Linked DNA regions of Arabidopsis thaliana. The protein of the gene in region 1 interacts with the protein of each later gene in a pairwise test. Each region holds a gene or a part of one and is shown in the gene's direction. Other genes may lie near its edges.

Region 1 (7,654 bases):
AGATTTCTGTGTTGGAAACTGTTGCTGCTTTCATTTTTCTTGAATCGATTGAAGTGGTCCCAAACCATTTCTTATAATTATGAGAACTTGTACATCCTTTTTGCCAAGAAAGGTCTTTGAGATGTGGGTTATATTTCGGTAGTTGAATCCGATGGAGAACTTAAATGAATTCCCCAAGGACAATTGTGTGGGGAAGTGTTTGTGAATTTCGTAAAGTTCTTTTTGTATGTGGAACATATAATGAGAGCAAGATGATCTAACTAACTTTCTTCATGGCAAGAGGAACACTTCAGCTCCCTAGGATTGATATTTCTAGATTCTAGTTTTGACAATTTACTGCAGATCCCTTGAGTTTTGTGAACCTAAGACTGTTAACCTGGTAGCTCTTTGGTTCTGTATTGTATATGGTTAAGTCAGCTCCTAATTTGTTGATTTCTTCAAATTTGTATTACTTGCAGCCGTGAAATGTTCGATAAATGGCAAGCTCAAAAGTGGTGGGCGGAGAATTTCGACAAGGTCATGGAATTATACAATGTACAGCAGTTCAATCAGCAGAGCGTCCCACTTCCAACTCCTCCTAGATCTGAAGATGGGGTATATGCACCCTCTTCACTTCTGAACACATGAATCTACTCATCAAAACCTGTCTTTGATACTTTGAGGTCTAACTAGTTTTAATTTGGTATACCAGAGCTCGCGAATTCAGTCTACCAAGAATGGTCCTGCAACTCCACCTCTGAACAAAGAATGCTCTCGAGGAAAAGGCTACGCTTCTTCTGGCTCACTCGCTCACCAACCAACAACCCAAACACAAAGTCGACACCATGATTCATCTGGTCTTGCTACAACACCAAAACTCTCTAGCATAAGTGGGACAAAAACCGAGACATCATCTGTTGATGAGTCTGCAAGAAGTAGCTTCTCAAGGGAAGAAGAAGAAGCAGATCATTCAGGGGAGGAGCTATCTGTAAGTAATGCAAGTGACATTGAAACAGAATGGGTGGAACAGGACGAAGCAGGTGTTTACATCACAATCAGAGCTTTACCAGATGGGACTCGCGAGCTTAGGCGTGTTCGCTTCAGGTAAAGATACATTACTTTCTCTGTTCCTTAGTAAAACCCTTTCAAAAGCAAGCACTTTAACAACATTGTCTTTGTGGTTGTAGCCGAGAGAAGTTTGGGGAAACGAATGCAAGATTGTGGTGGGAGCAGAACAGAGCTCGGATACAACAACAATACTTGTGATGACCGATGACGGTCGAAGGCTCTCTAGAGAAGAATCTGACACACACCAAAACAAAACACTTTTCTTTTATATGTTTTACTTGGAAAAAAGCTACAGAGTGATGGAAATAACTTGGGATTCAGATAATGAATGTGCTTTTTAGTTGGTGGTTGTTAGTACATCTCTTTCTCTTCTTTCTCATCTACATCTATCTATAAAGAGGAGGTATTAGTTTTACTGGATTTTCTTGGTGTTATTTTCTTAAGGTAATGTACTGTATATAGTTTAATACTAAGAAAATTCATATTATTGGATTTGAAAATTACACTTTGTGCACTTTATTACTTTTTCTCTAATTATATTGACCATGATTGGTGCTAATAATTATGGCATGTACTTAAATGTTCTGAATAAGAAATGTATAAAGTAAAAACCAGTTAAATTGCCAGCTAACTTGTATCTCCTTAGAAATTTCCATTTCTCACTTCTCCTTTGACTAATCTTTCTATTGAGTTATATTAAGGGTAAAATAGTCAATTAGGTTTATCCAATTAGTGAATTTGGAACCAATTTTTTCGACGCGTGAGAATAAATCCTAACTTCTTTTTTTTTTTTGTTCTCTTAAAGCCGTTCCCTCTTCTCTGTACTCGAAACCCTAGTAGTTGCTCTATCCGATTTTAGGGTTTAAGAGTCGAATCATTAGCATCTACCTTGATTACGCTGATCTCACTTGGTTTCGCTACTCGATCCTTGAATTTCTTTGTTTTTTGTGTGTTTCGGTTTATTCGATACGTCTTTGATCCGTAATGGTGACTGGGTCCAGAACTAGCGGTAATCGTGGGGTAGGACTCGATGATGAAGCGAAAAAGATGATTCAATCGATTAAGGAAGTTGTGGATAGTCACTCCGATGCTGATATTTACACTGCCTTAAAAGAAGCTAACATGGATGCTAACGAGGCTGTGGAGAAGCTGATTCATCAAGGTTTCTTCTCTCTTCATCTCTTTTTCTGCTTTCCTAGTTTGACGGAAGTTAGGGTTTTACTGTTTGTTCTCTGGTCCGCATTATCTTGATCACGATGAATGCTACAACATCTTGTTTGAGGCGTATGTAGAATGCTGTAGATAGGTTATGCAAATTTCGTTTGATGGAGTTCTGTTGATAATTCGATAGATGGATAACTCTTGTTTTCATTTCGATAATTTGTCAATTCTCTTCAGAATACTTCAATTACTATATACTTGAAATATTATTGGTCTTCTTTTCTTGGCTCTCGTTTCGTTGGGTGACTAATATGTGTGTTATTGTTGCCATCATAGTTTTGGTTCGCTAAAAAGCTTTTGTTTTGTTCAGATCCATTTCACGAGGTGAAGAGAAAAAGAGACAGGAAAAAAGAGGTGAGGTTACATATAACTGTTATGGTATCTTGTTCCCAGTTCTTCTCCTTTTTAACATTTTTGCCAATGCAACCACATTGTAGTTTTTTTGTTTGACTCTCCTTAGTCTTTTCGAAACTGCATTTGAAGAAGGTGACTAGATTTTTCATAATGTTAGTTGTGCTTGTGTGACTATTATATCTCATCGGATGTCTGCTGTGGCAAGCTATATTTTTTTTTTGTTTTGTTTAGTATTTTGTGTGCCTTCTAATTTAATTGATCGTCAAAAAAAATTTCAACTTTTCTAGCCATTCAAATAGTTTGATGAATTTGTAGAGATCATCAAGACACCTCTTGTATAACCTCTGATTTTTAGGGCGTTCCTTTGGTTTCAGGATACAGTATTTGTTGAGCCTGCCAACATAAAGAAACCTCTTGAAAATGTTACCAGTGAAGTGAAAGTTCGTACACAGCCTGAACATAATGTTCGGAGAGGAGGCTACAGTAGGAATTTCTTCCCCAGGAACGCTGCTCAACGAAATGCATCTCCTAGAAATCCTGCTACTGGTAAATCAATTTGATGATGATATACTTGCCAGTTTCTTTCGCATGCTTGTACAGTTGTACTAAAAATCTTTAATTTGTTTTAAGCTGTCTTTTGAATGGTTCGTAAACATAATCTATATAACGGCAGTATCAAATGAACTTGGTTAAATCCAGAAAAATATATGCAGGCAAGCAAAGGAAACGTAGAAGAAATTGTTTTGCGTTGATTTGTTTTTTTTTTTTAATCTTTGTTATTGGCCATTGGCGTGAGGCCTTCAAGTTTTATGTAATGTATTGACCATATTCACCTAGAAATGTTTTTCTGTCTGTTTGTAATTTGTTCGTTTCATGTTAGTGCAGGATCCAACAAAGAGTTTCGCGTTGTTAGGGACAACAGGTCTAATCCAAATGTTGATGAAGAGTTGAAGCATTCTTCTGCCCAGTCCTCTGGATCAAATATTAACAAAGTGGTTGCCACTGTGAACAAATTGGGGTATGTATCATCAGTTGTAATTTATCCTATTGTTCTTATTCTAGCATTTTTATCACTAACTTGCCTTCTTTTATACATGTGAAATAGAATGATTTGTTACTCTTGTAAAAATATTTTAAGGGAGTTAATTTGCTTTAGCTGTACTTTTCCAAAAAATAGTAAAGTAGGACTCTTTTTTTTTTTTTTTTTTTTTGTCAATGAACTCTTTAAGACAATAAGAAGCATAGATTAGTTTTGTGCCATACTGCCATTGGGTTTTGGTAGACGGAGATAGGAGTGTGTATGTTCACTTGGTAGGCATTCCTTTGCTAGCCCAACAAGGACTTCTTGTCTCATAATTTCAAGAAAACTATGCTGAATTTAAATAAGAAAATAAAATTTTCGCTCTATTTTAACTGTTTGCCAGCTCAAGAGGTGGTTTGGGCAATCGTAACTCTTCTGGGGCTCAAGATTCAACTGACGAGTGTAATGCTCCAGCAGATGCCAGGCTCAGACAGGCTGAAATTCGTCCTTTGCATTGTCCTGTCAATAAAGAACTCGGTGGAGTTACTTTGCCATCAACCAATTCAGTTCTTGGTGTATATTCGTCTTCCAAAGATCCAGTTCATGTACCTTCTCCTGTTTCTAGATCATCACCCGTGGGAGCTATTAAACGTGAAGTAAGGGGTGGAGGTTTAGGTGGAAAACCTTCTGAAAATGTTGGTAAAGATCCATCTGTGCCCTCTTTTTCAGGGTCCTCTATTAGAAAAAATGGACCTCCAAATGCACATCGACCATCTTCCCCAACTTCAAAGATTGATCACAGTCGAACTACTGCACGTGAGTCTGTTATGCCCAGTGGAGTGGAAAAGAATAGGTCATATTTGAACAGACAGCGTGGGAATAGAGGAAGCCAATATGCTAGAACACAACAAGTTGGTGGCCATACAAAGGGTAACTTATATGCAAATATTTATTAACCGAATGGATGTTGTGCAATTTCTTATTTGATTTCTGCTAGGCGACACTTTATTTTCTGTGTAGCTTCTGCTTTGAGTAATATAATCCCTTCTTTCAATCTATTGGGAATTCCTGGTGAGAAGCCATTTCCTGTCATGACTTCTGATATTCTTGATCAACCTGTACTTATTGCAGGAGCCTCACAGAACAAGGAGTGGAAGCCTAAATCTAATCAGAAACCTGTTGGACATAACCCTGGAGTAATTGGAACACCTACAAAGTCTCAAGCTCGTCGTCCTGCTGATAATTCCATAAATGTGGAAACAGAAGCCGTCAAGTTGCAGAATAAGCTTTCACATGTTCATATAAGTGAAAGTCAGAATGTCATCATCGCAGATCATATTCGTGTCCCGGAGACTGACCGCTGTCAGCTAACTTTTGGTAGCTTTGTTCAAGAGTTTAATTCCTCAAGGAATTCAGAATCTGCTTTCGAAGAATCACACTCTTCAGAAGAAGTTAGAGAATCTGATCGTAGGTAAGTTCTGACAGTTGGTGGGTTTTTTTTTGTACATTTGAATATAGTTTGAGATCACATGCATCTTCCCCAATTAACTTGGTGATATTGTTGACAGTTCGCCAGTTACTTGTCCTGAGGCTTCAGCAGATGGTCCGGGCGTTCTGCCTATCACTATTGATGATCATGTCAGAGTTTCTAGATCTGACTCACCCGTCTCGGCAGTATCTGAGCCACAGTTACCCGAACAGAAAGAAACTCATAGATCTGACAATTTGGATGCGTACTCGGGGATTGAATTACTCAATAGGAATGGTCCACCTTATACTCCTTTGGAGTTTGAACAGCAGCAAGATCCTCCGGAGTTGCAAAAATTTTCTGTAAGGGTTCTTGCAATTTTAACTCTTAAAAATCAAGGAAAGATAAATTCATTCAAAAATGACATGCTCTTCCTTTCCAGCAGGCTTATGACAATCATGGTAGTTATGAATTTCCGTACTTTAGTCCTGCAATGGATGAAACTGTACGAGTTCAAGGATTACCATCTCCACACGAGGTAATTTATGTTTCTGTTGTTAGTTGTTACTAGTTTGCCAGCATGAGTTGATGCGTAAGAGTCTAGTTAGCTCCTGTTTGAGCAGTTGGTTTGTGCATGTGTCATAGTTATCTTTTTTGTTTTATTAACTAGGAAAAACTGATCAAGTATCCTTTTGATAATGCAGCAGGGATTAAGTGCTCACATGTTAAATAATGCCCCACCATCCACTATTCCCATGTTACAGCAACAACAGCAGGCATCAATGCAACAGATGTATCCGCAGGTCCATGTTTCGCATTTTCCCAATCTCATGCCTTATCGTCAATTCCTTTCCCCAGTCTATGTTCCCCAAATGCCCATGCCAGGCTACTCAGGTAACCCAGCAGCATATGCACACCCTTCAAATGGCAATAGCTATGTGCTGATGCCTGGAGGCGGTTCTCATCTCGGTTCAAATGGTGTCAAGTATGGAATCCATCAGCAATATAAACCAGTTCCAACTGGTGGACCTGCGGGTTTTGGGACTTACAACAATCCTAATGGGTATCCAACTAATCCTCCCAATGTAGTTGGAAACGCTACGGGACTTGAAGATCCATCTCGCATGATAAATAAACATGGAAATATTTACGTTCCAAATCCTCAGGTAATGATAATTGATAAGTATGGTAGTTGTGCCCGAACTTTATGTTTTTACCAATTATTTTTTATTCTGATTCATGTCTCCTTATCTAACACTACAGGCTGAGACTTCTGAGATATGGATGCAAAATCCAAGAGATCTTTCAAGCCTTCAGTCTCCATATTACAACGTAGCTGGACAATCGCCTCATGGTGCTTATTTATCATCCCATACAGCACACCAATCGTTCAACCCAACTGCGCAATCATCTCACATGCAGTTCCAGGGTCTCTTCCACCCGTCACAGCCTGGTACGATGGCGAATCCGCACCACATGGGACCTGGCCTCAGTGGTAATGTTGGAGTCGGTGTCGTTCCCTCTCCTCCTCCGTCTCAAATTGGTACCTATCAGCAATCACAACTTGGTCATCCGAATTGGCCATCAAACTTCTGAAGAAAATCTAACCTTTGTCTTCTTGTCTAATGGATTATATAATAGCCAAAAGCAAATATTTTGATTCTCCTTATGAAACGCCAAACTCTGTTTTAATTAATCTTTATTTATTCAATGCATAAAATGTTCCCAGCTCTCAACAATTTGTCTATAAATGCTTTGTCTGCTTCCATAGCCCCTCATTATTTACAGCTGCAGGTATGGTGTTATTCTCCCATGGCGTCAAATTGTCAAGGTAAAGTCCTGTCCGTGCTTCTTAATCATTTACTGCTATTATAGTTTCGGTCGACTTCAAGAACCCTACAATGCATGTGAAGGTTTTTAAGTGTGGAACCCTGTGAGTGAAACATTGTTGCTTGGTGCTAGTGTTTCCCATTGTCAATGTTCTACAAGTATTAAAGAGAATTGTGTGTTTTGTTTAGCTGTTCAATGTTCTTCTTTGAGTTATGTGTCTTCTCTCTCCATTTCCTCATATTCCTTATTAAATTCTTGATAGAGAATCATTAGTTGTTGAGCTTGACCTAACTTTCCTCTAGCCTTTAGAATAGATTACAAATATTCTTAATCGGAGAACTAGTTGAAGCTCAGGCCTATAGGTTTTGATTATCTCCTTGATTACTTTAGTTTTTAGGTGTCATAGCACACTGTGTCATCATAACAAAAGAATCTAATTGATCGTTTTGTTGACATATTTAGAAAAGTAAATATACTTAGTTTGGGGAGGTGGGTCTTAATCAAGGAGCCAACTAGAGTTTACTTAGAGCCTAATTGGTACGGACTTTGATTCCTTCTCTGATTTAATAGGCCTCCTAAGTCCTACCTTATTGAGAAATGATTACTCTCTACGAATCTCTTGAGACTCCATGATGTTGAGTCACTAATACTCTATTAATTTGTCCCATTTTGACCGGTCTAGGTTTTATTAAACGTAATTTCACTATTGATAA
Region 2 (5,161 bases), on another chromosome or scaffold:
ATTATATATTATCATATTTTAGTTTTCTTAGATTTATCTTTATCATTTTAGATATTTATAATAGGAAATATTGCATTAATAATAATAAACATTTAATTTATGTGTATTTTAACTAATAAAAAAAGTTGATAAAGTTTTTGAAACTAATAGAAGTAGTTGATAGACTTTGACCAATAATTAAATACTTATGTAAAGAACTACATTTATGACTTTTGGGAACTCTGAACTCTGACAGACTTAGTTAAAAGAGCATGTTATATATATATTTTTTTTTATTGAAAAAGACATAACATCAGGAGTATTTTCACTATAGACAACTGTTTTGTTTGTAGGTCTATAATAGATTTTTTACAGTAAAGCATAAGAATAGATATGTTTGAACAAATAAGAAAGGAAGTGGAAATTGAGAGACCAATCATGTCAATGTCTCAACAACTAGACTTCATGTAGTTACACTCTCAACTAGCAAAAAGACTTCTAGTTCGGTTCAAACATAACTAGAGTGATCTCATTCTCTTGTCATCAACTCTTCCCCTTGTTTGGTATATGGCTAAGGATATGGATTGGGAATTTCTTTTTTTATTAAATCAAATATTTTCCTAACGAAAATTGCACACTGATATTCCATTTGGATTTGGATATGGATCTTTTTTTTCCCTCAAGATTGATATGGATCTATAAATATATGCACCGAAAAAAAAAATATCTATAAATATATGCACATGCATGTGTCGATTGATGATATTTTTTTTGTTTCATAGAATTTCTTTTTTTATATTTTATATCCAAAGGTTGATGCTTTCCATTAACTGTGAGGTTAAAAAAGACTTTACATATAATTACATTTTCCAAGTAATCAAAAACATGCATGAGCATACATTTTCAAGAAATAAAAAGGAGACACAAATTTAAGGAAATAAAAATCTAGACTATAACATTAAAATAAACCAAAATAATACAACTTCGTATACGTTGTTCAAACATTTTTCAACTTAACATTTTGATTTATAATCATATAGCTTTATCTTAGAGATAAAATTATACTCAGAAAAGTTTCGTGAAACATTTCTTGATATATGGTAGAAGTATGTACTGTTCAAACTTATCTCACCTTAATTGCTTTGGCTCCATTTTTATAAAATAATACACTCTAACTTCTTAATTAAAGATTTTTGTAAGCAAATTTGTTATCTATGCTTAGTTGTGTATTTGGTGGCTCAGAGGGCAAGCAGACATTTAAAAAAAAAAAAAAACGATTCATGGGTTCCTCGAACCATGCATATCCACTAGTTCTTTATTGGGCCGATAATAGGGGAACTCTTAAATCAGCACATCAAGCTTCGTAGGAAGAAAATATGTTTTTTGTGGGGCTTAATCTGTTTTATTTCAAAACAAATCATTCTATAACAAATTTTGATCTCAAATTCACGATTAAATAATATACACAAGTTTGAGTCTTATGAAGTATATATTTTATTGCAATGAGCCTTAAATAAAAAGTCATAATTTGTTGTTTTATTATATAATGTTATACTGAACAAGCATTCCAAAAAGGCCTCCGTAGCATAGTGGTATTGCGTTCGCTTCGTAAGCGAAAGGCCGCGAGTTCGATCCTCGCCGGGGGCTTCTTTTACTCACTCTTTTTTATATCTCTTTCTTTTTTATGAAATTAGAATACAATTCTTCTTAGCCACAACTTTCCATAACTCAACAATATACATAATCATCAAAAACAAACAATTCAAGGAAAACTTCCCTCCTTACCATAAATAATAATAGTAGTATAATTTTAGTGTAAAAATCTTGAAGAAAGCCCTACAATACAAGGCTACAACAATCCCAATTTCTCCTCGTCGGAGATTTCTAAGTAAAACCCTAGAACTAACCATTATATATATTATAATACAAATATATTCATCCCTCCCTCTCCCTGTGTCTTACTCTGTCTTCTCTTCGAACTGATCTGAGATTTTTGATTCTGCTTCTCTTCTCATCTTCTCCCAAGGTATCGCTTTCGTTCATAGTTCATACACCAATTTTCTTACTGTTATCAATTGTTTGATTGATATTTGTAGTTCTTCAATTTGGGTTTCATGTTCTGTCTTAAAAGTCTTTTCCTTTCTGTTGGAATCCTCTGTAAAAGCTTAATCTTTTCACATTCTTCCAATATCTAGTAGCTGTATAGAGATCTATGTAGTTCTAACGTATATTCAATTTATAGATTCTCAACTTGCAAGTCGCTTAAGTCACCAAATAAATCTCTTGTTAAAGCTATAAGAGATCTAATGAGATTTGTGGATTCCTTAGTGTTGATTTGAATGGCAATGTGAGACTAAAATCACTACTTGTGGTTCATCCATATGAGTATGTTTTAATTTCGAGACATTTGTTTGATTATATATCTGACCTTAGTGATAATCTCTTGAATCTAGGTAGAGATGGCACTTGAATCAAATGCTCCAGTGGTGGACCCAAACACTATTGGCAATTCTTTTGTTGAGAAATACTACAACCTCTTGTATAAGTCACCATCGCAAGTGCATCAGTTTTATCTCGACGATAGTGTTTTAGGCCGTCCTGGTTCTGATGGAGAGATGGTTTCTGTCAAATCCTTGAAAGTAAGCTATTGGATGGAGTTGCTTTTTGTGTTCAAACATATGTAAATCTTGTTATTGGAAGCAAAGTTTCGTTTTTAAGAGTTGTTTAATCTTGTTTTGCAGGCTATCAATGAGCAGATTATGTCCTTCGATTACGAAATCTCAAAGATTCAGATTTTGACTGCTGATTCCCAAGCATCTTACATGAATGGAGTTGTGACTCTAGTCACAGGTTTACTAACCGTGAAAGAGGGGCAAAGAATGAGATTTTCTCAATCGTTTTTCCTTGTGCCGCTGAATGGAAGCTATTTCGTTCTCAACGATGTCTTTAGGTATGTTGCTGATGAGATTGTTGAACCAGAAGCTAACAAGAAAGAAGTCGAGGAGGTTATTCCTCAAGTGGTCCAACCAACAGAGCAGGTAGATGAAGTTGCAGAGCCGGTTACTATCCCTACCCAACAACCCGAGGCGAAACAGACAACCGAAAATACAGTGAAGAAACCAGAAAGAGCTGTAGCAAATGGACATCCCAAAACACAGGAGGATAATGTTGTGAACGATAAAAGCAATGGTGTTGATGCTCCCAAGAAATCATTTGCACATATTGTGAGTCCTCTTTTTTGTGTGAAATCCTATTCTATAGCCTAATCTTTGCTCATATAATCTAAATATTTTGCAACTTACCCTTAGGTCCAAGATTTGGCTCAAAACGGTGCTACATTCAATGCCAAAGCTTCTCCTGCAAAGCCTAAGTCTAAGCCTGTTACAAAGCCGAGTGCTGCTCGTGAATCCAAAGCTCCTGCTCCTGTTTCTGAACACTCTTCTGCTGCAACAATCGACCAACAAGGTTTTAAATCAATGTTTTAACATTTCAGAAAAACTGATTTTCTTTCACCTTTTTCTATGTCTTAATATGATTTTACCATTTTTCGTGTATCAGCTGAGGGTTATACGATATTTGTTGCCAACTTGCTCATGGACGCTACACCAGAGCAACTAAATGAAACATTCAAAGGTTTTGGAGCTATTACGAAAGATGGTATCCAAGTGAGAAGTTACAGGGTGAGTTGTTTATTGAATGGATCTTTTGAAGAAACTTGTTTCACAGCCAATTTTTTTGAAATCCTCATTAAGTTTTTCTTTTGCAGCTCAAGGGAAACTGTTTTGGCTTTGTGACATTCGCATCTGCTGAAGCTGTGAAATTGGTCCTCCAGGTATGTTTCAACATCAACGATATTTCTTACAAACTTTTTGGTTATAAACTGGATTCTTCTTTTGATGTTCTACTACACAACTCTAGGCTCACAAAGAATCAGCCATCAGAATCGGAAACCGAAGAGTTTCAATAGAAGAGAAACGAGGTAAGTCAAAGTAAAGTTTAGTACTAATGTCTCCAACTTCAGGGTAGAAAAACTGAAACCATTGGTTCCGTTGCAGGCAACAACGATAATGGAAGACCCGCAATGCGAAACGGAGGTTATAGGAACGACAACGGTTACAGAAACGATGGGTATAGGCCTCGAGGCAACGGTTCCAATGGAGGTCGAGGCTATGGAAGAAATGGATCTGAGAGACGGGGTGAATCACGCAATGGTGAGGCTCACAATGGTGATGGCAAAGTTCATCAGAACGGTACGGTAGAAGCTAGCCGTTAAAATACTCAATCCAGAGGCTAAACAAGTTTGAAGTCATTTGTTAAACTCTGTTGTGTTATTGTTGTTCATTTGAAATTGAGGTTTTATAGGAAGAGATAGTGAGAGGGAGAGAGAGAGATTAGAAGTTCTTTTGGAGTAGGTTTATCTCTTAGGTGATAATCCCTTCTTTGAGATTTTGTTTGGGATAACAAAAATTTGATGATTACTTTTACCTTCCATTCTGAATCATCTTCATTTGGTCCGGTTTACACATAACCAAAATTAATCGGAAGTTCGTTGTCAATTGATTGAGACATCTTTTAGGACCAAACCGAATAAAATATTTTCTAGTGAAAAAAACAAATGGGCAACGAACCCTTAAACTTATGGGCTTGATGTGAATGGTGTTGGTCTTCAAACGACGACGTATTGTAGTATTCTCTAAGTTTGCATTATTACACAAACCAACAGGTGACGAACACGTAGCATTTTTGGTTTTTATGGTGTAAAGATCTTGACGTCCCCACTTGACTCAACAAAGTGACCCACCAAGGATTCTAAAAATCTTCTTTTCGATTTATAGATTTCATTCTCAAACCTAACTGTCACTGAATCAATAATAATCAGACTTTTTCACTAAGTTATATTGCTCATTATGCTAATCTAAACTCTTCTCCATCAAACGATTAGTCGCCAATAATCAAACTTTACCTTGTTAATTACTTTATATTATCATTGTTAAGTCTTTTAGTTTATATACTATGGTTTATTGATGATTGCCTTTGTGTAGTAGTAGTATTCAATTACTTTTACATGGAAGTGTTTTTATTCTCCCTTCACTTTTTCACAAGCAACTTGCTTGCTTCGTGGGTCCTTTGGTCTAACCCACGTGAGTGACGTTGTCGAGTCGCTAGATTTATCATATTCAAA

The links.
Region 2: the proteins of AT3G13990 (region 1) and AT1G13730 interact in a two-hybrid assay, tested with the Arabidopsis thaliana proteins (one large-scale study listed by BioGRID).

Annotation. Positions count from the first base shown.
Region 1 is NC_003074.8:4,624,761-4,632,414, reverse strand, and holds AT3G13990 (dentin sialophosphoprotein, putative (DUF1296)), read left to right. Parts: upstream 1-1,801; 5' UTR 1,802-2,031; coding exon 2,032-2,209; intron 2,210-2,578; coding exon 2,579-2,622; intron 2,623-2,996; coding exon 2,997-3,168; intron 3,169-3,507; coding exon 3,508-3,640; intron 3,641-4,046; coding exon 4,047-4,573; intron 4,574-4,774; coding exon 4,775-5,114; intron 5,115-5,211; coding exon 5,212-5,473; intron 5,474-5,553; coding exon 5,554-5,649; intron 5,650-5,815; coding exon 5,816-6,277; intron 6,278-6,374; coding exon 6,375-6,707; 3' UTR 6,708-7,032; downstream 7,033-7,654. Other genes in the region: ATBRXL2 (DZC (Disease resistance/zinc finger/chromosome condensation-like region) domain containing protein), read left to right, coding at 459-594, 692-1,083, 1,167-1,245.
Region 2 is NC_003070.9:4,708,081-4,713,241, forward strand, and holds AT1G13730 (Nuclear transport factor 2 (NTF2) family protein with RNA binding (RRM-RBD-RNP motifs) domain-containing protein), read left to right. Parts: upstream 1-1,676; 5' UTR 1,677-2,005; intron 2,006-2,136; exon of another isoform or gene 2,137-2,326; intron 2,327-2,432; 5' UTR 2,433-2,438; coding exon 2,439-2,618; intron 2,619-2,720; coding exon 2,721-3,203; intron 3,204-3,287; coding exon 3,288-3,444; intron 3,445-3,537; coding exon 3,538-3,659; intron 3,660-3,745; coding exon 3,746-3,811; intron 3,812-3,897; coding exon 3,898-3,958; intron 3,959-4,034; coding exon 4,035-4,252; 3' UTR 4,253-4,592; downstream 4,593-5,161.